Lytechinus pictus: one gene and its partner. The protein of the gene in region 1 purifies or fractionates together with the protein of each later gene. This does not show direct contact. Links are inferred from orthologs where the notes say so. Each region holds a gene or a part of one and is shown in the gene's direction. Other genes may lie near its edges.

The links.
Region 2: the proteins of crk-like protein (region 1) and rap guanine nucleotide exchange factor 1-like purify together in Homo sapiens (affinity purification with western blotting; 16 studies listed by BioGRID and IntAct, with this or other methods). This does not show direct contact. The link is inferred for Lytechinus pictus from reciprocal best matches to the Homo sapiens genes CRKL and RAPGEF1.

Annotation. Positions count from the first base shown.
Region 1 is NC_087250.1:23,205,106-23,212,686, reverse strand, and holds the start of crk-like protein, read left to right. Parts: upstream 1-4,358; 5' UTR 4,359-4,705; coding exon 4,706-4,758; intron 4,759-7,581. UniProt on the Homo sapiens protein: May mediate the transduction of intracellular signals.
Region 2 is NC_087259.1:23,035,439-23,043,172, reverse strand, and holds the start of rap guanine nucleotide exchange factor 1-like, read left to right. Parts: upstream 1-4,411; 5' UTR 4,412-4,743; intron 4,744-5,368; exon of another isoform or gene 5,369-5,697; intron 5,698-5,890; exon of another isoform or gene 5,891-6,684; intron 6,685-7,734. UniProt on the Homo sapiens protein: Guanine nucleotide-releasing protein that binds to SH3 domain of CRK and GRB2/ASH. Transduces signals from CRK to activate RAS. Involved in cell branching and adhesion mediated by BCAR1-CRK-RAPGEF1 signaling and activation of RAP1.

The DNA of each region.
Region 1 (7,581 bases):
GGGGATGACATCATCAGTTCACGAAGACATGCCTCAGTCGAACTATTTCACCGGAATCATGCAAATCTTTAAAATGCCATAACTTTTTTATTCCTTGTCCGATTTTGATGAAATCTTTAGTGCTTTGTTTGTCCGATTTTTCTTTATCTGTTGATATCACACTATTTTCAGCCCGGAGCATCCCTTTAAGCCTCGCTCGTCGATGTTGAGCCATGACGAGGCAACGCAAAAATGTTATCGTCAAATTTTACAAAATAAAATCAACAAAATTACAGTATTTTGTTCTTGATAATACGGTGAACACTGTACGCTCAAAGATACGGTACACTACTCACTTTTAAACTGCCCCCATAAGGTCATCAATACACCACACTGTAAAAGCTGTGGCGTTAAAACCAGTTGGTGTTAATAGAGGACCACACCCTGGGGTGTTAAAATGACACCTTATAGATTGAACATAACACCATAGAGTGTTAATATAACAACCAAAGGTGTCGTATAACACCTATAGGTGTGTTAAACTATAACACTGTCAATTTACCACCGGTGTAAAATAACTGATGTGGTCCTCTATGTACACCTGCATGTTAACACCACAGTTTTTGCTGTGCAGATTCGGAGATGTTCCTCCACCAACCCTGACCAAGGGCAGGCCATTTTCTTCGACAGACGTATACGCCGTGACAGAAGCCAGCTTTGTGCACGGCACGAAACAGCGCGCAACATTTTTATTCAATGATGAATAATTTCAGATTTCTTTGGCGCGAAAATAGCGGTCACGTAACTCGTTTTATTCAATGTTTAATAACTTTTAGATTTTATCAATATATCGTTCGATATTTTTATTCAACATGTTCAACGCAAAGTTATAAAGCAACTACAGCTTTTTATACAACTTTCGCGATTTTTTAAAATACAATTCTAATTCAACTCATGCAATTTTTATAGATATACCGCGTTTCGTGTGTTTATGGGTGCATAATTATGTTTAAAGGTCCATCCCAGAAAAAACTTTGATTTTAATAAATTGAGAAAAATAAAACAAGCATTATGCTGAAAATTTCATCAAAATCGGATATAAAATAAGAAAGTTATGACATTTAAAACTTCGTTTATTTTTCACAAAACAGTGATATGCACAACTTAATGACATGCAAATGAGACAGTCGATGATATCCCTCACTCATTTTTTCTTTTGTTTTTCATTGTTTGAATTATATAATATTTCATTTTTTACAGATTTGACAATAAGTACCAACTTGATTGAACCATATAGTATCAAACAATGCTAATTCCACACGTTCTGGGAGGAATTAATCTTCTTTTCACAGGACAACAGGGAGAAAATTTGAATATTTCACATTTCATATAATAAAATACAAAAGAATTCGTGAGTAAGTGATGTCATCAGTCCCCTCATTTGCATATCGACAAGATGTGAATATAACACTGTTTCGCGAAATTAAGCGAAACTTTAAAATGTCATAATTTCCTTATTTTACAACCGATTTTGATGAAACTTTCAGTGTTATGTTTGTTGGATTTTTCTCTTTTTATTTAAATCAACTTTTTTGTTGGGGTGGACTTGTCCTTTAAGAATAAGTAACCCCTTATTGAAAATGGAACTTTTTTCAAAACTGTCTTAAGCAATGTAATTTGGCAATACCTATGGGCAGAAAAGATCTATGCAAAAATCCATTTGTATATTTATGGAAGAGTGAGCACGCATCGAGGGGGAATGGCATTTTCAATGACACAGACTCTTTTGATGGGTTATTAAGTGAATAATGGGGGCAAATTCTGTTTCAAATGTGACTTAATCACTGTTGTTTTTATCATCCATCATTTTTATCACCACACACTTCCCGAACTTTTTACAGGCATGGTTGAGTGAGCACACTTGAAAACTTGGGAATGAATGCTCTTTATAATGCATAAATGCATGCTTTTCCTAACAATTTCTCAGGATCAGTTGAATTTATGGACTAATGGTGGATCCAGATTTCTTAAATGGGGAGGGGACCGAGAAATAGGGGGGGGGGGGCACTAACATTTTACAATTTTAATTTGAAAGTTATATAGAGGATACTACCGTAAACCCCTATGATGATACGGCACAAAAAATGATGTTCCCTCAACCATGAACATACGTTATCAAAATTGTGTGTGGATTGGCTATAATTATGATGGATAGTAAAACAGCATCAGCACCATAAAATTCACCAAAAAACGAATTCCGCCCAACTTTGTATTTACACGATCTGAAAAAAGGATTCTTGTAACTTTCGAAAATTGTCATTTTTAGTTCAATCTTTGATTACTCATGCATGACTCAACCGATCAATCTGATTTTATTAATAAAACCAATTATCTATCTATCTATATCTATCTATCTCATTTTCCCACAGGAATTTCTGAATGATGGTGATAATATTACCTACGAAATATTTTATCTCAAAATTATTTCAAACGTTACAGCAATTTTATTTAGGGGACTTACTTTTTTGTTTGTGTATATACACAGACAAATCTACGCAATTATCATCTATATAGAGTGTTTTAGCGATACATTAAGGACGTTCCACAGTTGAAAATGAAACCCATGTCATTTTCATGAAATTTTGCACACTTGAGTTATTTTAGCACCTAAATATTCAAAAAATGCAAAAAATAACATGAGTTCATGTACTTGTTTTTTTTTGCTATCGAGCTTTGAACTTCACCCAAGCATTTGTAAGGTCTCGAGAAATACACAATAATAATAATTTGGGTTTCTAAACCCCATGACATCACAACGTTGAGTGTAAACCTCTATTAATCAGTCAAAATCTATCTAAATGTCACCAAATTTTACATTATAGTTCAGAATTATTTACTTAAGATGAAAAATCCACTCATATTGCTATTCATGGTTGCTCTTTAAAGAGAAGTAACACCTTTAATTGAAAAAAAGAAACATACATACAAATTAGAAATTTATATAACAAATTTACAGAGTATACAATAAATGCTGCATTTTATTTAAAACCCATGTCCTTTTTACAAAATTTTGCATGGTTTTTTGGCAAAGGTATACAAAAGAGGTGCCGGAACATTAAAAATTTGGGGTTCATGTGCCTGTTTTCAAAATACATGTATCAACACTTTTGTTTCGCAAAATAACGTGAGTTTAAAAACACACGCGCCAAAAGGCTTGTATCTTCATAAGGGAAAATTCTACACCACTATTCCATTTGATGAAACTCGAGGTAATATTCGTCATACTTTGCAGCACTGCAGAGGAAAGTCTTCTGAAGACTAGAGGCGTTTAAAAAAATTGGTCCATATACTATTTACAGCTTAGAGCTTCGTAAAATAACATATCAAGATTTGCTGTTAGAGTGCAGATGCTTGGATAGATGATAATAATCATATTGGATGGCTTTAGTACTTGGAATACCAGAAATATTCTGCGATTCGTGGAATATTTGCCGAAACTCTTGGAATATACTCTTTCGGAGCCATCCAATATAACATAAGTGTTTTATAGCTTTCCAATTTTCTCTGCACCAGTATCTTTAGTCTCTTCCCCCTTCTCTCTCTCTTAGGTGATCCCTCCACTGTTTTGGAGATTCTAAGATACGAATAGAACAAATCCCAGTCCGGTAAATTACAGATTCAGCATCAAGTTGGAGCGGTAGTCATGAATTTTATGTAGAAAAAAAGAGGGATTTAAGGAGCAGACTATAATTAACTTCTGAAGGGAGACCAGGTTGATGGGTTAATAGGGTAGCACAGGAAAATTGGTGTGGATCCTCAGCAGTATACAAGTCTAGGTAATGTGGATGGTGCAGTGAGACACTCCTCGACTCTGTGTATGAAGTCTTGGCGTAGGTGATCAAGAGAGGAGCACGATCCGACAAAGTGTTCTACTGTCTCATCATATGAGGCACAAAGGGGGCAAGTACGGGTGGAGGACTTTCCTAATGTGTGGAGGCGATACTGAGTAAGATACGTGGAAGAAAGTAATTGGGCTCTGACAATGAGTGCATAACGGATGACAGGGGAATGTGTGGTCTTCGGATAAAGGAGATTGTTGGAGGATGGGATGTGATCAATCCAGAACTTGAGAGTTGACTTCGCACGGATGCCCTGTGCAACGAGATCATTGACGGCAATGTAGATCTTGTTTAACCAGTTTCTTAAAGGTGGAGTAAGGAAGTGGTTTCGAGATATTGCTGTGAAGATCAGGAAGGTCGTATTTATTATTATTATTTTTTTTTACAATCGGTCCTTGGTTATATTTTTAGGTTTTTCCCAAAAACATATCCCACGAAGTGATGTGTATAACGCCCTCTATTTTACCCATGAAACCCGTCACGTCATAGACGGCCGTGCTATTTTGGCTAAGTGGCCTGTATTGAAGTTTGACAGAAATAACACACACAGTTTCTATTGGACTTCTCGAACTTCCTGGAACTAATGGCTAAATAGCGTTTGTGTACATGTACGTGTGTGTGAATGGACTGTCAGGGACTTCTGCGAGTCAAGATTTTCATCGTCGGTTTTTCATCACGATTTCGGCATCGATGAAGACTCTTCTCGAATTTGACAGGAAGGGGTTTTATTGATCAACGGGATAATTTGATTCTTTGGAGGTGTATTTTGGTCGAACTTTTCAGGAAACCATCTCAATCGGACGATAAGTGAAGAGGGTTCGTCAATTATGGCGTCCCAAGACGATCTCAAAACCCCGTATGATGATAACAATAAACATTTGTAAGTTGATAATTTGATGATACGAGTGAAAATCGTTTGTATGCGATGACACAATCGAATTTGATTATTTGATCTGTCATGTCATTAAAGTCATAAGAGCATTTCGTTTATCGGAAAGATGACTCGTTTGAGTAGTGTTGAGCAGGAAATTCGCTCACACCCAAAATAGCAAATCTTGTGTGTAGTCCCACACTATCAAAATTGTGTCAGTCCTCAGGCTTAGCTATTTACAGTAGGCCTAGAGTTAACTTGTTTTTTGTCAAATTGACATGGTCTTCGATTATTAAGGATTTATCTGGAAGCCAGGGGTATGCCAGTATGTAATCTTTGCTGTTAAAGTGTTGCTTTGATTTGCTTAGTTGTTACTGTTACTGTTAATAGGCTGCATGACGCACATTCCGAGTGTAGAAAAAGTGTGTGACTGCGTCTGCGAGTAGGCAGGACAACAAAGTTTAGAAAGCTCTCTTTCTTGTGATGGGTCAAAATGCGCACTAAAGCTGCGCTAACGAAAGCGGGAAATTTAACTACGATCAACATATATTTTCGACACTTAACAGTGCACCGCTGATCGTGTGTGTTCGGTAATCAAGTTTTCAGACATAAATCATGTTGCTGTTTAAATTTGAAAATCGACATTAAACACACCCTTATCAGGATTAATTTCCCAGAAAGTAGGATGGGGGGTCGGGTGTCCGGACACTTTATAATATATTTTTGAAGCCTTTTTTGTCTTTGGATTACACTAAAAATACGAAATCAATAGTTGTACAAATCATCTTCTATTTTGTTCTCTATAATATTTCCTGACATTTTGTACTAAAAATTGATAAAACTTCCCTTGTAAATTTTTCCAAATGACTTTCTAAAATTGATCGTCCGGACACACAACAACTGGGTATACTGTGCACTGGAAGCGGCTGCCAGGGCTACACATGTAAAAGATCATCAATTTTTTAAAGTAAATTCAGCCGTATGTATGGCAAGTTCCCCCAAGTCTGCGCAGTCCCCCTTGTCTGCGCACACGCGTATCTGCGCGATTCTAGTAAAAGAAGATACGCAATGAGCACGAACTTACACATGCAATACATAGACAGGTATTTGTAAAAAAATCCGACTCAAAATGGTGGAAAAATAATAAATTTAGGGCATTTCATGTGACGGCCTCAAAATGCAGCCTTTCTCATCAAAATCCCCGAATCGTGTGCAAAGTGAATGAGTGTGCAGACATGGGGTACCATTTGTTTTTTCAATCTGAAAATGACTGCCCGAGGTTTTTCCAAGAAAATCCTATATTTTCTTTCATTTTTTAATGAGAAATTTTGTACACTTACTCTTAATAATATAAGGAACATTATTAACTGAAAAATTTTGTGAAATAAGAAGAAATTCATGTTAAATCTTAACTCAAATTGTTAGGTGCGCAGACTTGGGGCCCACCATCATACACTTAAAGAGACATGTAGATCTAGAGGCCTACACAAAATAAGAATACCTCTGTTTTCAATTTTACAAGTAGAGTAAAACTGGGTTGGTACTCGGCCAAGAGTCGGTGTGTGGCTGTTCAGCAATACACCACTGAAATCACCAACTCACTCTAGACATGTACACCACACATTTACTCACTCACTCCCACACTACAAAATCATCCGGCGACATGGACAAAATTTTGAATAAAAAGTGAAATTTTCGCATAAAATATCACACTTGGTAGGGGAGATCGGGGTTAGTTGTCCCACACTTTTGACAAAATGGCTGTTAGTTGGAACATTTTTGACAAAATGGCTGTAAAATCCAAATAGATTTTATTTGAGAAACAACATATCAGCTTGAAGCATATATCTAAGGGCTTCAAATGTACGCCATAAAATGTTCAACTCTATGTTTACTGAAAAAGTCCACCTTGAACAAGACTATCACAAGCGTTCCAACTTTGGCGTAAATATTCATATCTGAATGACACGCGCCTCAAAACCCAAGATAACAACAACAACAACAACTTACCCCATATACGGGGTAAGTTGGAACATGGTATGGTGTAAGTTGGAACACTGCATGGTCAATTAAGAATTATACTAAAACTACTTACAAATGTAATATTACATGGTTTTAGCCTATTTGCGTTATTTTTTTCAAGTTCAAAATATTAAAAGTGGCTTTGTTGAACTTTATGTTTTCTAGTATACATAGCCACTCATGCAAGCCTACTGTGTAGTAGAATTCCGCTTATTTGTGTGTGTTTGATTTTACATGCAAATGATGCAATTAAGTGTACTATCAGCAATTTCATGTACTTCTGCATCAAATTTACATGACAACAATTAATTGTTTATATTTTTTAATTAATTAATTATGCAAATAAGCAAATTAAATTTGCCCTAAATTTTTTTTTTAATGTTTTTGCCTTTAACTCTATTTATTAAGCTAGTAGAATGCTAATTTTTGGTGAGAGTATCAATATTTTTTCCGCAAAAAATATAATTTCTTATGTATTTTTTGTTTTTAAAATTTGTATTTCTTTGTTTTTTTTAACCTTTGTTTTTTATTGTTTTTGCCGATGAACTTTGTCAGGGACTCTTGCGATCATAGCATAAAATAAATCCATTTGAACCAACAAAAGTAAAAATAGTCATACATTATGATTTTTGGTTGAAAAACACAATCACGTTTTTGAGCAATTTTTGGTCTGACATGCATGTACAAAATGTTGCGTGATTTTGAAACTGCGCACCCAGGTATCGCAAATTTGGTCTTAAAAGATGCGCAAGACTTGAAAGTAAAAAGTCAGAGAGCGGTGCGTTCAAAAAAATTTGCGCGATGGCGTAG
Region 2 (7,734 bases), on another chromosome or scaffold:
ATGCAGATTATATCCAAAAACAAGGAAATATTTACTGTCATCCATATCACCATGAAGGCCATTGGATAAACAAATGGATATTATGGCCATGTACCTGTAATGAGATCCGGTCATTTTTCTGGGATTCCCCTCGACCCATACCTAGTCAAAGTTGATGTAATAGTCCAGAAGAAGTTATCATGTCAGAGGCGGCGGAACATCAGGCTCGGTTAAAGAAAGTGGAGGGGCACCTGTTGCCTGCCAAACAATAGGTGCCCCTCCACTTTCATTGTATGAGCCTGACGTTCTGCCGCCTCTGTATCATGTAGTGAAGGATAGATATCCCAACGTTTTTTAATTGAATTCTATTTTAGAAAGTGGTGGTGGGCAATTGCACCGGATGGCAACATTTGACCCAAGTTTTTAGGGCGCCCAAGCAACCTCACGTTCTAACTTGCCGTCATTTTAAGAAGGTCAAGTACACAGTTCCATTCAGGGTCCTGGTAGAATAAAACTTAAGACCACTTTGGACATGTTTCAATAAATGGAGCTTGTGCTTGCATGTTATGGTGTACTATCAGATTGATTGCACATAGGTGCTTCAGTCACACTGGTGGAACCGACCCCAGGCCAACCAAGGCTGTTACATTATTACCAATGACATTCCATCAGTTGGATTGGTGTCAATGGCATTGGTGTGACTGGTCAGACTGGATCATTATGCAGGAGGAGCCTGGAGAGTTTTCAATTTGTTCCATGGTATTTGTGGCCAATGCATTATATCATGGAGGGAAAACTTCTATCTCCATGATTAAAAGTGTGTTGAACTTGGCCACATCAAAGAGTGATGAATAGCAGCAAATGTCAACAACAGCTGATACTACAGTGGGTAGTGCTATTAAAATGAATATGATTTCCACTATAAAAAATATCCTATCATCACGTAGCCATTGTTTAAGGTGATGTTGCTACAAACACAAATATTCAAGTTGCGTTTTTGCTGGGATATCCTGTACCTTGACTTGAAATAGGGTTAGGGTTATCAAGCAAAGGGCTGAGTTCCTTGCATTTACTTCACATCAATGAATATATTTATTGAAAGACTTCAAGATAGCATAACATGCATTTCATATTCTTTTTTTTTTGTATAAAACCAGCTACTGAAAGATAGCATGGGCTGAAAATTTCAGGATGTAGGCATAATCTTTGTGCTGCTTTTTTTTTGTAAAATAAGTGTTCAAAAGGGCCTTTATTATAATAAACATAAAAATATCACTGAGACAGGGCAGTATTAATGTCCTCACCTTCAAGTCTGCAATTCAAATATTCTCAAAGAGTTTGGTTGTGAGATTTGAATGGAAAATGAATAAGCCCAACGTATTCACATTATTGTACCTATACAGAAGCTTCATATAATTTGAATCAGATGCTATACCCGAACCCAGTACCCAATATACAATTGAATACTATCAATAACACACGACAGTGCTAAATAGGATACGTTGTTTAATTGAAATCAGTAAGAGATGGACTTTCTGCTGCTATAGGAAAGTGAGATAGGAAGCTAGGAACACCCTCCACGTCCGCTAAAGTTCTCAAGCAGGAAGTATAGCCTAAAACAGAGAAGAAAGTTTGAGATGAAGCTATATATCCTATCGCTTTCCACGAAACTATTTATGTGGGTGCTTCGTACAGAATGTTTGTTTTCTTTACTATTTTTTCGATCGCGTGCATGCAAATGTTTCATATAAGAGGGCATGGTGATTAAAAGCAAGAAAAAATAATAAGTGGTTTTCACTTTTAATTGATCTCAAATTATCTTCAAATTTTTTAATTAAGTGTCCATGTGGTATTTAAAGAATCTTTTATAATTCATTAGAGTTAGATTATCGATATGAAGAAAACGATTAAAAACCCAAACTAAAAAAAAATAAAATGTTGATGATTGCAAATTACCCAAACTTAACTCTTAAGCAGAATTTACAACTGAAAGAAAGGGAGAAAAAACATGATAAAGTATATAATGTACAATTGGTCTTCTGATTTAGTATACTATATATACCACCAGAAACTCGCAGGCCCTCATGGTATAGGGCCTACATGTACCTTGCTGCTTTGACTAGAAACAATGCATGCAATATTTCATTAGCAACATGCATGTATATAGCATGCAAATACTGAAATTTTTGTCAGGCAGCCGACAAAGAAAATTTTTGCTATATACCACTTAAAAATTCAGAGTGTTTATTACCATATTTTGTAACTGCATTTTTAGTTTCAATCTTGATGGATCAAAAATAGAATCTCATTAAAAGTTTCTGTACACTTAATCTTGAATCTGTGATGTTAGTCTGACATTTTTAGAATATTACATTTTACTTTTTTATATCTATTTGAATGCAGAGTAAAAAGAAAATAGTAAAATATGATATGATTTGGACATTGATTCTGAATAATTATCTCATTTTATGACCAACCTGAAGGTTATTTTTAATACAGATTTTAAACGTAAATAATTCTTGTCCAGTAATAGATAACAAATTATTATGAATTTCCTGTTCAAAATTAATTCCACAATTTGCCAACTTTGTCTTTCCGTTTCGTTTCTTTGCACCGGAAGATAATCCTTTCATGATCACTGCAATAATCATTAATCAAAGTTTGATGTACTTTATGAATGATATCATTCTTTATGTAGAAGTATATATGATGTTGATATCACTTTATTTGGAGAAACATAAAAATGTGACCTTTTATTTTCTTTCGATTTTTACTAATATCAAACATGTACGTGCATGATCCATGTAGGCCTACACTGTAGGTGACTTTCAACAGAATTTTAGAAGATCATAATCGTATAGTTTCACTTTATGGTAGTCATATAGATAAGTGCAGTGATATCACTATTCTGTTGAACTATGGATGTAAAATAATAGGAATGATCATGGGATATCCATGAACTTATCACAAAATATATTGGATGTTAAATATGTTTAGTCTGTGATATAACATTTTTTTGAGATGAATCATATTTATGATATGATATCTCTTGATAAGGAGAAATGCTGTATTTACTTTTTCATTCTTGAAAGCAGAGGAATTAACTTGAGGAGTAAACCTATGCATGGTCAGTGAGATACCTAGAACATTACATATTCACATTCAAAGGAATTTTAATGGATCATAATGTATATTAAATGGTATTACTTTATTTGGAGAAATGGGCCAGCCACTGACATCATCCGGTTCCATTTTCAGTTCCACACACACAATAATAATTAGTCATAAATTTCATATTTCCTTCTTACTCATTTCAGGCTCTAAAAATACAATTGGTGCTTTATTCACCAAGTTATCACTTTGCGATGAAACGTGTGATAAGTCACAATGATGAAAAAAATGAACTTCATACTTGTGTGATAATAAAAAAGAGAAAGACCTGTGTGAAAGATACTTCATTTATTCAGTGATTGCATATCTTGTTGAAATGATTAACATTGATTTTCATTATTATTATGAGCATACATGTAATTAGTCAAGTACAATTACGTTGCGAAAAACAAAACAAAACCAAGTGCTGCTCCTAGTACTTTACTTAGTACATACTTCTTACTACTGCTTCCTATTACTGTATCCTTTTTTACTCCTTACTAGCAGGCCTACTTACTATGTTATAGTTTCTAGTTAATACTTACTGATTACTACTTTTACTACTACTATTTACTACTTTCTACTTCTTAATACTGATTGCGATTGTTAATACCAGGGGTTTGAGAGTTCAGATTTTTATCTGATTTCAGATTTTTTTTCGTTTTGATTTTCAGCTTATTTTTGGCTTTCCTCTGTACAAATAGTATGGGAGCTCTTTCTATTTCAGACTTTCTACAAGTTTCAGCTTTTTTCAGATCTTTTTATTTGTGACCACTCACACCTCTGGTTACTACTGGTATCACTATTGCTACAATATTTTTGCCACTACTATAAAAAAAAAAAAAAAAAAACTATTACTTGTTTCTAGTGCAAGCAGTATATATGTGTTCATTATCTTTCTTATTTTAAATGTGCAGCATTGACACAAAAGAGGTGTTATGATTACAAAACTGCAAAGAGAAATGGGTTGGGATGAGAGAGTGGGGTTAATCAAGTGGCCTTTTGTGGCATGTGAAATCTTGAAAGCAGTATCAATTTGACAAAGTTCTAAGTGTCTTAAATTAGAAGTTCACATAACCGCTTGATCAACCCCTTAATTTCCAGTTTAATTCTTGGCATTCATCATTAGATCCTCCTCCCAGCTCTATTTCAGAACCAGTTCACAATCACCAAGGGAATACCCCACACACTCAGACTCTAACTAATCTCTCGTAATTGCATTGATTTGAGGCTGGTTCAGCAACGGCCGACCGCGGAAGCTACGTCGATTCCTCCTCTCCTTGCAGACACACGACAGACAGCTCTCTCACCGCTCGGCATTTCTTTGACGTCTCAGGAAACAGTCATAAGTCTCTTGTCTGTGGCTGTTAGCCTCCCTGATCTATAAGTGGGAGAGGAATTTTACATTTATAGCTATGTGGGGTATACCTCTGGATAGACTGTTCTTGGTGATTTGGCAGGTGTATTAACGAGGGAATCATTTGCTGGCATTTCTTCATTCAAGAAGTCAGAGGTCTTTATTCACTAATGTGCTTGAAATCACAGGATGTAATTTTGTGGTATTTGAAGCGAACTTTCTTTGGAACTTGAATATTGCAGAGTTAACAGCAAAAGGTGATAAAGGTATTAAAAAGGTATACCAGTTAGATTGAATCTTTTCAAGTTAATACACATCTAGTTTATAATACATTGATAAGTATAGACTTTATCTCAAATTTTAATAATCATTTTGTACATGTCAGTCGAGGGAACAAGCATCTATTGTCATCTTGATCCATTAATCTGGAATTGCAATTATAGTGATGACTGCTAATTCACTCATACAGGTTCTTTGAATAAATTGTTTCCGGGACTACCTATCAATTCATTTTTTTCAGTATTTCTAAACCACTCCGAGAGAAAGATGTATAAAAAACATGTACCAATATTCTAAATTAAAAAATAGTCAATACTTAGAGTTTTGTTACATGGCCTACTTAACTGTTTCGGCTGCATTGCAATGGCCTACTTAATTTGGACAAATTACCCTGAACCAGTTATGCGAGATAACATAGAAATGAATAAAAATATCTTTTTGAATACTTTCTGTACTTCAGTCAAGTGCGAAACCTAAATACAATATTCAGGGCCTTTGTGTACATGTATTGTGACGAAATAGGTAATATAGAAATGCACCATTGTGTGGGCTAGTTGTGCTATTGAACTTTTTCACAGACAGTGAATTTGCTTTGGGTGGGTGGGCATGTGACAGATTTTAGTTCAATCACACAGACTTCCAGTCATTTCCTGTCGATCGTTTATAGTTCTGCAATGAATCTGTTCATGATATTATTGTGAAGTCACTGAAGTGCATTTTCACTTGGACCATTCTGCATCCCGGACACTTTTCTTCAGCATTATTACAGTGTAGTGACTTGATATATGGCAACAAAATAGTGATTAATTATCAATATGATACTTTTGGGAGGACAAGTTGGAATTAGTATGATCAACAGCGTTCAACTGAAATAGGCTACACTGTGTTTGTTTTATCAAACAGAAAGGGAAGTTTGCTATACAGGAATACAGGTATGATCATTTTAATCGTACTTTAATTGCAGAGCAATAGGAGAAAATTTCGTTACAGGATAAACAATTTTTATTTTAATTCAGGGGATATGTAAGCATTCTTTATACAGATGATGTGACATTGCATTGCACCTATTTGTTGCATTATTGCATCACATTCGCTTCTCGTGGAAGCCTCGTACATAAATACAATATAGGCCTAGGTTTTAAACCTGCATTGGTCTTTGTACAGGAACATGTTTCCCAAACTTATCTTTCAAACAGATAAATAGTTTAGGCTCTTTTCACAGCACAACTTGTATGGTTACAGAGAATTGAATATGAATTTGAAGTACTGTAGGTGAGTGTTTCGTCTAGCCCTACAGCCCACACCTTCATGCGTTTGCATTGCACTGCAGTGGATCATAGCACAAGTTTGTTTACAGTTATGATATCTCTGATTCATCACACAATTCATAAAACTACACTGTAGTATGGTCTGAACCTATGGTATATATATATATTATTCTACTTGACACTATTTTTAATCAGTGCAGGGGAGTGTGATTGGGCTCCTGTTGTCGCCTGTTTACATTTATGATTAATCAAACAAGGTTGACCCATGTAGGTGAGGTTTACTTGTGACGTACAGCCACAGAGGGCTTTGGTCCTGATCGCTTGCTGAATCACGATCTGTTTTTGAACGGCATACCATTCATAGGGTACCACTCTTTGGGGCAGCCTAGTCCAAAGCACCGTCAGTGTCACTGCTGCAGCGCGAGGGTTGATGGGACGTTGTAACAGAAGCCTATTGGTGAAGTTTGTGGAAGTGAGCAGGAGAGAGTTTGTGTATGAGATGCCTGTCAGGATTAAAGGGACGTATCAACTATGTTGAGAGGCTGAGCTAGTTTCTGAGGACATTGCACTTGCTTGCTTTTATGGACAGTTAGGAGCTGAAAGTGATGTGATATTTGGAGGCATAGATCTACACACTAACTATTATTTTTTGTAAGTTTTGAAAGTTTTGAAAGTGAATAATTCCTGGAGAATGAAAATGAATTGATAAAGTTTCATTTTTCACTTGCTATTCCAGAGAACTTTACATGATGCAGTGTTGTGTTTTGTTCATATAACCCTTTTATTTTGTGCATGTTGCTATTTTTGCATTGGAATCCTTATTGGAAAGATTATGGGAGAGATTATATCAGTTATGAAGAAATTATTTTGAAGAGGAATGCAGTTACATTATTGTACAAGATTTCTTTATTCAAATTAAATCTAGGTTGGCTAAATAACAGGACAAAGGAAATGAGAAGTTATGTAATTTAAAATTGTGCGTGGTGAAAGATTTTGAAAGGAAATCAATTTCTTTCTTTTGTATAATTTTCCTTTCTTTTTTTATAACTTCCTTGTTTAAAACGTACAATGATTCATGAGTACAAACAATGTCAACTGTTCCTGATCTTTCATTTCTACATTTTGATGTTCCTTTGAAGATTGCACTTCAGGGAAAACATTTTATTATCAACATATTGCTAATGCTTTTTTGTATGGCATATGGATATGTTGGTAGCATTTATGATGATAAATGTTTACACTGATGATCAGACTTATCATTAGTTGCCCTGTGAAGTTGGCAAAAACAATGTATGATGCACCAATAGAATGTGCGAAGCCAAGAATGACACAACGTCTGGCAGTGGTACCACGTCTGGCAATGGTACCACGTATTGTCTACAAAGATTGGAAAGGATTCAACAAATTATTATGGACTTCATACCATGGCAATTTATAGATAGTGCACACAAGTGGGTGTGTATTGTAATACAACCATTTCCTGGTGTTATTCTGGTAAAATATTAACTGGCTGTCAAGTTTAATTCATGTAACAAAGACGCAACCGTTGTAAAAGAGTAACTTCTGTGTACGTGAGCTCTTCATAATTTATATTCTGTATGTCTGTGAATCGTTTCAATGTTTGATCAATTGCAACTCTTTGTAAAAAAAAAACCAGCGTCTAGGAGTGGGTTCTTTATATATTGTGAGTGCAATATATTT